Macaca fascicularis: one gene and its partners. The protein of the gene in region 2 purifies or fractionates together with the protein of the main gene of each other region. This does not show direct contact. Links are inferred from orthologs where the notes say so. Each region holds a gene or a part of one and is shown on either strand. Other genes may lie near its edges.

Region 1 (3,637 bases), on a different chromosome or scaffold from region 2:
TGGGATAAAACACATGGCCTTACTGCTTGGGGCCAGCTCTTCTGAGCTTGCAGGCTTTTTCCTATCTCTCCCAGCCATGGCTTGGGGTAGAGAGCATGCTGGAAGAAATCTCTGAGTAAGTGGCTGCTATAATAAACTGACAGCTGCAGCTGCTCTCTGTGGCTCACATTAAATGCTGTGGCCTAGTATACGCATACCGAAAGTCAAGCAAAAATTGACCCACACTTATCATAAACTCTTTAAAGGAGTGTAAAAGACGAGCCCCTTCTGTGGAGATGGCTCTCACCGTCACTGATCTGCCTCATGTCCTGGCTATTTTGGATACTGTGGATCATTTCCAGAAGGATTTCTTTCTCTTGCTCAACAGCAGTTGCTGCTTCTCTCAAAGCTTCAACCCTATAGAAATTGGGAAAACAAAACGGTTATTGTATGCAGGATGTTCTTCCTATTAATTTTATCTCTCATTCAACCCAAATCAAGTTTAAAGATCACCAAACTTTTCAAAACTTCTTCATTTCTGCTTTAAAATTCTTTCATTTTTCTATTTTTTATCCACTTGCCTTTCTCCTATTTTCCTTCCAGCTCATGAGGCAATTCTATTTAGTGTTTATCTAATTAATAGTATTTGTTTTTACAAGATCTGTATTATTTGTATATTTTGAATTTATATCTCATTCTGTTTTTATTTTTTCACTTAGCATCCAGGATCCTATGTGTACTTTTTTTTTTTTTTTTGGAGACAGTCTTGCTTTGTCCCCCAGGCTGGAGCACAGTGGCACGATCTCACTGCAACTTCTACCTCCCGCGTTCAACTGATTCTCATGCCTCAGCCTCCGGGCCCAGCTAATTTTTGTAATTTTAGTAGAGACGGGGTTTCGCCATGTTGGCCAGGCTGGTCTCAAACTGCTGGCCTCAAGTGATCTGCCCACCGCAGCCTCCCAAAGTGCTGGAATTACAGGTGTGAGCCATCACACCCAGCCCCCTATGTGTACTTTTAATCAGTTGGTGCTACATATTTTATAATACTCCATGTGTATACCTACCTGCTTTTCCTTCTCCACTCTCCCAGAGATGGACACTCAGGTTGTCTACCAACTTCTTATTACTACAAATAACACTTCTATGAATACATCTCCCCTTTGGATCTTGGTGAGGATTTCCTTAGGACATATACCAGGACAGAATTGCTGAGATAAAGGGTATGTGTACTCCGCTTTTGACTTAGTACTATGATTATTCTGCAGAATACCTGTACCTGTCCATTCTCCACAGCAAAGCACAGGAGTCCCCATATCCCTACCAACACTCCGCATTTGCCAACTTTCTATTTGCTGCCAGTGTAGTAGAAGTATGTCAGGTTAACCTGCGTTTTCCTAATAATTTCAGACATCTCTTTGTATCCTTGTTAGCCTATTCATAGACTTTTCCTATTTTGTTTTTCTATTTTTAAACAGGAGTTACTGTCCCCTTGCTGATTTGTATACTCAAGAAATTCTTGTTGGTTACAGACATTGCAGCCATCTCTCATCCTCTCTTATATGAACCACGTCTGGGATGTCTGGCACTAAAGAGAGACTCTTATTTTGATGTGATCCAATTCATCTTTTTTTTTTTTTTTTTTTTGCCTTATAGCTTATGCTTTTGAAGTTTTGACCTAAGGTCTTCCCCCTACCCCTTGGTCATATTTTCCTATATTTTCTCTTATTAACTTTATAGTTCTACCTTCCTTATGTCTTTAATCCACCTAGAATCAACCCTTGTATGTAGTTAGTTAAGAATGTTGTTTTTTTTCAAATAGCCATTTTCCCCAACATTATTTACCAAACAATCCATCTTTCCCCTAGCGAATGCGTATTAAGTTTCTCTCTAAAATCTCTATCCCATGCATTAGTGTATTTAACTGTTCTTATACTAGTGCCCAGTTTTGTTTTGTTTGTTTATAGCACTAGCCTTGTACTATACTTTAATATTTGATAGAACATGCCCCTCAATCTTCTTTAAAGATAACTTAGCTATTTATGGACTTTTACTTCTCCATATAAATTCTAGGGTACGTTTATTGTGTTTCTCAAAAAATGAGAGAAATTCGACATCTTTATAACGTCATTCTGTTTAAGGGCATGATATATGTCTCTTCATTTATTCAGATCTTCTATAGAGTTCTCATGTATTCTTCATAGTAGTCTTTGTAGATATTGTTGCTCTTGTGAATTTGTATTTTCTAGTTGATTTTTACTGGTTTGAGAAGTGTTGTCTTTGTAGGTTTATCTTGTCACTGGCGACCTTGATTTACATGTATTCATTTTAGTGTTCAGTCTGTTGATTCTGTTGGTTCTTCTAGGTAAATGATCATATCCATATCATCCATAGTTTTTATTTCCTCCTTCCCAATCCTATTACTTTTCTATTACTTTTTTTTTTTTAAGAAAAGGTCCTTCAGTACTGTATTAAACAGTGGCAATGATGGGGGTATCTTTGTCTTTTCCCAAATTTAAGGGAAAGTCTCTGTGGCTTTTTTGTGTAAAACCCTCATCAAACTATAGAAGCGCTACTTTCCCCACTTCACTCAACTGCACACACATGCACTCACACTATACATACACATAATTGTGCCCAGTCACTAAAAAACTAAGCTGGGGAATCATGAGAGCAAAATAAAAATATACATATTGTATATTTAACATGTTGTATACTTCCAGGGTACCTTATTATTATGAATTACAGTAAGTTGCCAACTTTTGCAAAATGAAATAGTGACAGACCTATTCCCAGTATTTGGATGGTCTTAGAAGTTCATTAGGATTAGAGATCTAATCCTAACTGCTGTCTTAAGTGTGCACAGAAAGAACAACTTCACCAATGTTTTAGCATGTTCAATTCCATAAAAGGATCTTCCCCCTACCCCAAGCACACACGTGCCTTTTCCCCTTCGGTTACCCACCTGTTATACCCCAAAATAGTACTGACAGGCTGTAACATCACAGGATATCTTTATTCTTCAAGATATTAAATATATGTCAAAGTCTGTGTTTATAAGAGCCACTAAAAGCAAAGAACTGGGAAGAATCTCATGTGACAAATTTGGCTAGAGAACACAATCAAAATACAATATTCTACAAAGTAACAGTAATGCAAGTATCAGGCCCTATTCCAGGACCATTCACTATTTACTTAAACATTTTACATTAGCAATCTCTCAGAAAGATAAACTAGGGCCCAGAACATAGGAAAGAGACTGAGTTGGCACTAAATATTTATGCTAAAAGCACAAACCATGACTCCAATATTTAGACAAATGACACAGGTGAATCATTTGATTGGTAAATGAGAAGATGCTGAAAGAAGAGATTAATTTTTCAACACTTCTTCGGCTGGTATTCAATTGTAAGATGATAAGAGAGAACAACACTATTCTGAAAAGGAAGGTTTCATTTACGAGTTACAGCAATAAGTTCATGTTCTTAACAAAATAGATAAAAAAAGACATTCTAGAAAAAAATAATAAGCCTATCATTCATATGAAAAAATATTTTATCATTAAATGACACCAAATAATTAGATGGAACTGCTAAATTTTGTGTTTTTGGGACCCCCCCCAACCCCACAAGGCTTTTTAAAATACATAATAGAAATTACC
Region 2 (3,464 bases):
GTGTGGAACACCTTTCAATGGTGGGCTTTTTAGCAGCCAAACATTATACCATGAAAGCAGACATCACAGATTTAAGGTGTGAATTCCTGGGCACCAACAGATCACAAGTTACTTTGTATGTGTTTTTTTTTTCTGTTTTTAAATTTTTTTTCCCCTCACAAGTTAGACTTAAACTGTATGACTTCTTTACCCAGAAGCGAGCTGACTTCGGTTCTCATTTTGAAGTCACCAAGTGGTACCAATTCTAGTGAGGAATTTCTTATGACAACATTGAACACTCAGTAAGGGATGTGCTATTTTGTTAACCACTCAAGTTTCAGATGGTGATTTGAGGGTGGAATACAGGCAGAAACGACTGTAAGCTGTCAGCAGGCCATGCTTGGCCCTCTGGGGAGCACTGGAGTGTGGCCTCTGCTCATCGTGTTAGGGTTTCAAGCACCTGTATTATGTGGAAAGGTCACAAGGCCAGGGACCCAGCACCTAGACGTGCAAATGGGGAGAAGCAGCAGAGAAGAAACGCTGGCTTGCTTTTGGCTTGGGCCAAATAATCTGGCACATTGACCAATCCCTGCCTGTCTTCTGGAAGAAGGGGCATTTCAAAAGCACTTTAAAGAACTTCAGAAACCTTAGGAAATTCAGTGCAGAGGCTGTGACAGAGGGAAGGTGGAGAGATTACCATGTTATAAAGAACTTTGGGATGTTTTTCAAAATTAACTTGACCATTCTTTTGAAACCAGAGTCCTTAACAAGCATTGAGATATATTTCTCCATGAAGGCCTAACAGTGAAAATTGGAGATTTTGGTTTGGCAACAGTAAAGTCACGCTGGAGTGGTTCTCAGCAGGTTGAACAACCTACTGGCTCTGTCCTGTGGATGGTGAGAATCTGGGCTCCCACCAGCAGTCTCTGGTACAGGGCAAAGGGAATGCCCTGGGGATTTATGTGCAAACTTTTAAAGCGTTTCTGTACATTTCCCCGAAATCCACATGACCCCTAGTGACAGCCAGCCTCAGGGCAATTGTAGATTTTCTTGAGGAAGCTGTTGATCAGAACCACTGTGAAGCTTAGTGTGGAGAGGAGATAATAAGCTGGGTGATAGAAGTGCTGGGTGTTGGTCCTTTAAAGACAAGGATTCCTGAGCTGTTTTACCCAGTGCCTGAATTGGAGTCCTTTAGGGGAAAAACTATGTGGGGACTGAAGAATGGACTCATTCATAACTAATGAAAGGGACAGCCTGGGTCCTAGATGTCTGTAAGGTCTGTCATATGGTGATAAATGCACTTTTGTCATATGGTGATAAATGTAGGCCCCAGAGGTGATCCGAATGCAGGATAACAACCCATTCAGTTTCCAGTCAGATGTCTACTCCTATGGCATCGTATTGTATGAGCTGATGACGGGGGAACTTCCTTACTCTCACATCAACAACCGAGATCAGGTGAGTCTGTGCTGGTGCTAAAGGTCCTAACGCGTGGGAGCCCTTGGGCCTCTCCCAGCCTAGGCAGCTAGAGGGTTAGGACTTGATATTTTCTGTAGTTCATTTACCCCCCATTCGCTCAGCTGTTTTCTTTCCCTTAGATCATCTTCATGGTGGGCCGAGGGTATGCCTCCCCAGATCTTAGTAAGCTATATAAGAACTGCCCCAAAGCAATGAAGAGGCTGGTAGCTGACTGTGTGAAGAAAGTAAAGGAAGAGAGGCCTCTTTTTCCCCAGGTAAGGCTCAGGGCTGCTAGAATGGTGATTAAAGCATGGATTGGTTCTTAAAGATGGCAATGTAAGGTGGGAGTATTTTGTTTTGTTTTATAGGGAGGGGACCCAGATCCTCTACAAGATGGTTGGGGGCAGGGTACAGCCTGTGTCTTTGAGACACAGCTAATGAGAGCATTCTGGGGCTTTGTTTCAGATCCTGTCTTCCATTGAGCTGCTCCAACACTCTCTACCGAAGATCAACCGGAGCGCTTCCGAGCCATCCTTGCATCGGGCAGCCCACACTGAGGATATCAATGCTTGCACGCTGACCACATCCCCGAGGCTGCCTGTCTTCTAGTTGACTTTGCACCTGCCCTCAGGCTGCCAGGGGAGGAAGAGAAGCCAGCAGGCACCACTTTTCTGCTCCCTTTCTCCAGAGGCAGAACACATGTTTTCAGAGAAGCTGCTGCTAAGGACCTTCTAGACTGCTCACAGGGCCTTAACTTCATGTTGCCTTCTTTTCTATTCCTTTGGGCCCTGGGAGAAGGAAGCCATTTGCAGTGCTGGTGCGTCCTGCTCCCTCCCCGCATCCCCCATGCTCAAGGCCCAGCCTTCTCTAGATGCGCAAGTGGATGTTGATGGTAGTACAAAAAGCAGGGGCCCAGCCGTTGGCTACATGAGTATTTTGAGGAAGTAAGGTAGCAGGCAGTCCAGCCCTGATGTGGAGACACATGGGATTTTGGAAATCGGCTTCTGGAGGAATGCATGTCACAGGTGAGACTTTCTTCAGAGAGTGGTGCAGCGCCAGACGTTTTGCACATAAGGCACCAAACAGCCCAGGACTGCCGAGACTCTGGCCGCCCGAAGGAGCCTGCTTTGGTACTATGGAACTTTTCTTAGGGGACACATCCTCCTTTCACAGCTTCTAAGGTGTCCAGTGCATTGGGATGGTTTTCCAGGCAAGGCACTCAGCCAGTCCCCATCTCGGCCCTCAGGGAGCAGTCTTCCATCATGCTGAATTTTGTCTTCCAGGAGCTGCCCCTATGGGGCGGGGCCGCAGGGCCAGCCTTGTTTCTCTAACAGCCTTGTTTCTCTAGTCACATCATGTGTATACAAGGAAGCCAGGAATACAGGTTTTCTTGATGATTTGGGTTTTAATTTTGTTTTTATTGCACCTGACAAAATACAGTTATCTGATGGTCCCTCAATTTTATGTTATTTTAATAAAATAAATTAAATTTAGGTGTAATGGCTGTTACCTCCTTTTAAAGTAATTCTGAGCTCACAATTTGAACGTCCCATTTGTTCACCCTCTTCAGGAGCAGAATTCAAGAACAGGAAATGTGCCCAGAGCCTAGGCTGGGAATGAATTTGTAATTTAACCTTTGTACTCTTTGTAACCCTCTACTGAAGAAGAGTTAAGTATAAAAATTAAGCAGAAAGTATTCTAAACTCAGCTAATAGGTTAAGTAATGCGTTCTATAAAATATTTGGTAGCTACAGCTTAAAAAAAAAAAAACACAGATAAATTCCAGCTTGGAATAAGCCAGTGCTAGTTCACAAGGTTGTGCTCACCCTTCAATTAAAATGACTACAAGACTTGCCATCAGCTCTCTTCAGGACCACTGCTGGGTCAGAATCAGAAACCTTGGGTGCCATGACATTTTTACAAAATTTCAAATCAAAGCCAGGCGTTGCAGATAATAGATGGCTTGAGTACGAACCACACATTATGTAAGTGCACGTATATTTTGAGTTCTCAATACAATTACCCTG
Region 3 (3,637 bases), on a different chromosome or scaffold from region 2:
TGTGTGTCTGTTGGGTTTCTGTTTCTGTCTGTGTCCTGGGGAGGGGGGTCTGTGTTGTTCTTGGGAATTCAGAAATACATGGACTGTGATCGAGGGTCTTGAAGGGTCTGTGTCTGGGAGCCTGTCTTTGTGGTTCCCTGGGTATGGCTGCAGATCTGTCTGCACCTGTTTACTTGAGTGAGAGGTTCTTAAACCTGCAACATACCACAGTCACCTGGGCAGGGGTTTAACATGAGAGTGGCCGCCTCCCTCTCCAGGGAACTTCCTAATGGCCTCTCTGTGTGCTAGGCCCTGGGTCTAGGAGTCTGTGTGATTAGCTCCCCAACATCCTGGGGGTTGTTTTGTTTTTTGTTTCTGAGACAGGGTTTTGCTGCGTCACCCAGACTGGAGTGCAATGGTGTGAACACGGCTCACTGCAGTCTCAACCTTCTGGGCTCAAGTGGTCTTCCCACCTCAGCCTCCCGAGTAGCTGGGCCTATAGGCGCACACCACCACGCTTGGCTAATTTTTGTGTGTGTGCATGTGTGTGTGTGAGATGGAGTCTCGCTCTGTTGCCCAGGCTGGAGTTCAGTGGCGTGATCTTGGCTCACTGCAACCTCTCCCTCCCAGGTTCAAGTGATTCTCCTTCCTCAGCCTCCCGAGCAGCTGGGACTACAGGTGCACACCACCACGCCTGGCTAATTTTTTGTATTTTCAGTAGAGACAGAGTTTCGCCATGTTGCCCAAGCTGATTTTGAACTCCTGAGCTCAGGCAGTCCGCCCACCTTGGGCTCCCAAAATTCTGGGATTATAGGCGTGAGCCACCACACCCCGCCATTTTTTGTATCTAGTAGATATGGGGTTTCACCATTTTGGCCAGGCTGGTCTTGAACTCCTGACCTCAGGTGATCCGTCCGTCTTGGCCTCCCAAAGTGCTGGGATTACAGGCATGAGCCACTGCGCCTGGCCCATGCCCACCTAATTTTTAAATTTTTTGTAGAGATGAGATCTTGCTGTGTGGCCCAGGCTGGTCTAGAACTCCTGGGCTAAGTGATCCTCCTGCCTTGGCCTCCCAACGTGCTGGGATTACAGGCGTGAGCCGCCATGCCTGGTCCTCTGTGGGGGTCGATGCCATCATCCAAAGCTGGTCTTTGAGAGGCCCTGGCATTGTGATCCCAGTATGTGTGATGCTGTGTATGTATGTTTTGTGTGTTTTGGGTCTTCTTGATGGGGGGAGAGTTGGGCACAGATGTTGACCTGATCTGTCACTCACTTCCAGGACATTTCATGTCTGAATCGGGATCCAGCTCGAGTAGTAGTTGTGGACTGCAAGAAGGAAGCCTTCCGCCTACAGCCCTATAACGGCGTCGCCCTGCGGCCCTGGGACGGAAACTCTGATGACCGGGTCTTATTGGACCTGTCTGCCTTCCTTAAGAGTAAGGCCGACCCCTGATCCCTTGGCCTCTGACCCTAGAGCCCCTGATTCTGAAGAGGAAGGATAAATGCATTATTCGTGGCTGGGCGACTGAGGTGCAGGAGGTACCTGAGCACCTTGGAGTCTTTAGGAGCTTCTTAGGATGTTCATGGAATGTTCAGGGGATACCTGGGGATGTTCAAGGGAACCCTTTCAGAGTGTTTAGAAGCATTCCAGGTAGCACTGACCACCCCCCTGCCCCAGTGTGGGACCTTCCCCTCGTGGGCCCTGCCTGCCTCTGGCCTTCAGAAGCCTGGCTGACCACCCCCTGTTGTGCCCACAGCCATTGCACTGAACGGTGTGGAGGATGTGCGAACTGTGCTGGAGCACTACGCCCTGGAGGATGATCCGCTGGCAGCTTTCAAGCAGCGGCAAAGCCGGCTAGAGCAGGTTGGTGCTCAGATGCCCAGAGTGGAGGATCGGCTCTGAGGCTCCTGAATGAGGAGCCCAGAGCAGTCCAACTCCACACTCCTGGCTTGGCTGTGTGACCGTGAGCAGATACCTCCTCTCCACCTCAGTCTCTGTAACCAGGGGGACATAACACAGCCTGTCCTGTAGGACTGCCAGAATGAGGGGATGCATTGATTCTGCAGCCTGCTCTGAGAACAGGAGACAGGCAAGGCTTTGAGACTGGACTGGAAGAGGGGTTGCCCTTGATGGTCTTGAGTAGGTCTGGGGTCACCTTGTGGAGGTGGACTGTGGGTTTTAGATCAGGTCTGGAAAGAGGATCCCTGGGCACATGGCCCAAGGCTGTGGGGAGAGTTGTGATGGTCTTGGTGGGACCCTGGTAATTTGGAAGTGGGACTGAGAGTACGGATTGCATCTGGGCAAGATTCCCAGGGATCTAGGCTGAAGTTCACCAGATTCTAGGTTAGGTTCCTAGAGTTGGGAGTCCCTGAGTGCCCAGAGAAGAAGTCCCTAGAGATTTGGGCCTGGGGACCCCCCAGGGAACTCCCCCTGCCCACCACATTGAGACAGGGGTCATGGGGTGCAGGGGGCCAGGGGCAGGATGATGCAGTCTGATGAGGAGGGCTCTGGGGTTCGGACTTGGGATCTCACCAGCATTCACCTTGGGATAACAGGGTCTGAGATAGGATCTCAGGTTCAGGGGAGGGGTCCCTGGGATCTGGGGAAGGGGATTATGAGAGTTTGGGGCCTGAGAAGCTACTGCAGTTCAGGCCTAAATATCTCGAGTGCCTAGTATTGGAGTCTGGCATCCCCCAAACATTGAAGCCTAGGCTCCTGCGGCTCAGAGCTGGCTCTTCCCAGTGTCTGGGCTGGGGAGCTGAGGTCTAGGGTCCCTTGTGTCTGGGCTGGGGGCCCCAGGGTTTGGGGAAAGGGGTCTGGACTTGGCAGAAGTCAGGAGGAAAGGTGGTCCCTGGGCTGAGGCCTGGGGAGCTGGGCGTCTGGGAGGAGGCTCTGTCCTCCCTGGGCTGACCCGCTCCTCCATCTGTCTCCCGACCCCAGGAGGAGCAGCAGCGCCTGGCTGAGCTCTCCAAGTCCAACAAGCAGAACCTCTTCCTCGGCTCCCTCACCAGCCGCTTGTGGCCTCGCTCCAGACAGCCCTGAACTCTGGGCCTCCTCAAACTCAGTGCCGGAGTCCAGGGCCCCAGTGCTTCCAGACCAAGACTTGGGCCACCACTGTCCAATAAAGTACATCCCAGATGCCACACCTGCTGTGTCCCGAGAGTCTCCAGATGGGGGCACCGGGATGAGGTCCGGGACTTTCGGGTCACCATCCCACAGTGGCTGATCGGCTGCCAAGCACAGAGTGGGGGCTTTGTTGGATCAGAGCATATTTTTCACCCTGGTCTGGGAATGTAAAAACCCTCGCTGTGTCTTCCTGTGTGTTGTGTGATCTGTAAAAAATACATCTCCCTCTGACCACAGATTCCGCATGTGTGGAGAAGGGAAGAGAGGATGGCACTTGGCTTTAAAGACAGGTAGCTGCCATGCTGCTGTGGAGAGACTGTGTTATGGGCCCAGTGGGGCTCTGGTGGACCAGAGATCACCCCTCTCAACAGGCCAACTGCTGCTTGGCTCCAGCCAGTGTGGCCCTGGAGTAGAGGGGGCCTGGGGTTGCTTGACATGCCAGTTGTTGAAGCAAGAACTTGGGATTTTTTTTTTTTTTTTTTTTTTTTTGCGACAGGGTCTCACTGTTGCCCAGGCTGGAGTGCAGTGATG

The links. Proteins that work in one complex are often made in the same cells at the same time.
Region 1: the proteins of RAF1 (region 2) and BAG2 purify together in Homo sapiens (co-immunoprecipitation; 3 studies listed by BioGRID and IntAct, with this or other methods). This does not show direct contact. The link is inferred for Macaca fascicularis from reciprocal best matches to the Homo sapiens genes RAF1 and BAG2.
Region 3: the proteins of RAF1 (region 2) and TIMM50 purify together in Homo sapiens (affinity purification with mass spectrometry; 4 studies listed by BioGRID and IntAct, with this or other methods). This does not show direct contact. The link is inferred for Macaca fascicularis from reciprocal best matches to the Homo sapiens genes RAF1 and TIMM50.

Annotation. Positions count from the first base shown.
Region 1 is NC_088378.1:114,539,022-114,542,658, forward strand, and holds part of BAG2 (BAG family molecular chaperone regulator 2), read right to left. Parts: intron 397-3,637; coding exon 287-396; intron 1-286. UniProt on the Homo sapiens protein: Co-chaperone for HSP70 and HSC70 chaperone proteins. Acts as a nucleotide-exchange factor (NEF) promoting the release of ADP from the HSP70 and HSC70 proteins thereby triggering client/substrate protein release.
Region 2 is NC_088376.1:150,866,327-150,869,790, reverse strand, and holds the end of RAF1 (RAF proto-oncogene serine/threonine-protein kinase), read left to right. Parts: intron 1-757; coding exon 758-876; intron 877-1,305; coding exon 1,306-1,437; intron 1,438-1,577; coding exon 1,578-1,712; intron 1,713-1,902; coding exon 1,903-2,046; 3' UTR 2,047-2,937; downstream 2,938-3,464. UniProt on the Homo sapiens protein: Serine/threonine-protein kinase that acts as a regulatory link between the membrane-associated Ras GTPases and the MAPK/ERK cascade, and this critical regulatory link functions as a switch determining cell fate decisions including proliferation, differentiation, apoptosis, survival and oncogenic transformation.
Region 3 is NC_088393.1:46,569,186-46,572,822, forward strand, and holds the end of TIMM50 (mitochondrial import inner membrane translocase subunit TIM50), read left to right. Parts: intron 1-1,258; coding exon 1,259-1,415; intron 1,416-1,736; coding exon 1,737-1,843; intron 1,844-2,920; coding exon 2,921-3,022; 3' UTR 3,023-3,293; downstream 3,294-3,637. UniProt on the Homo sapiens protein: Essential component of the TIM23 complex, a complex that mediates the translocation of transit peptide-containing proteins across the mitochondrial inner membrane. Has some phosphatase activity in vitro; however such activity may not be relevant in vivo.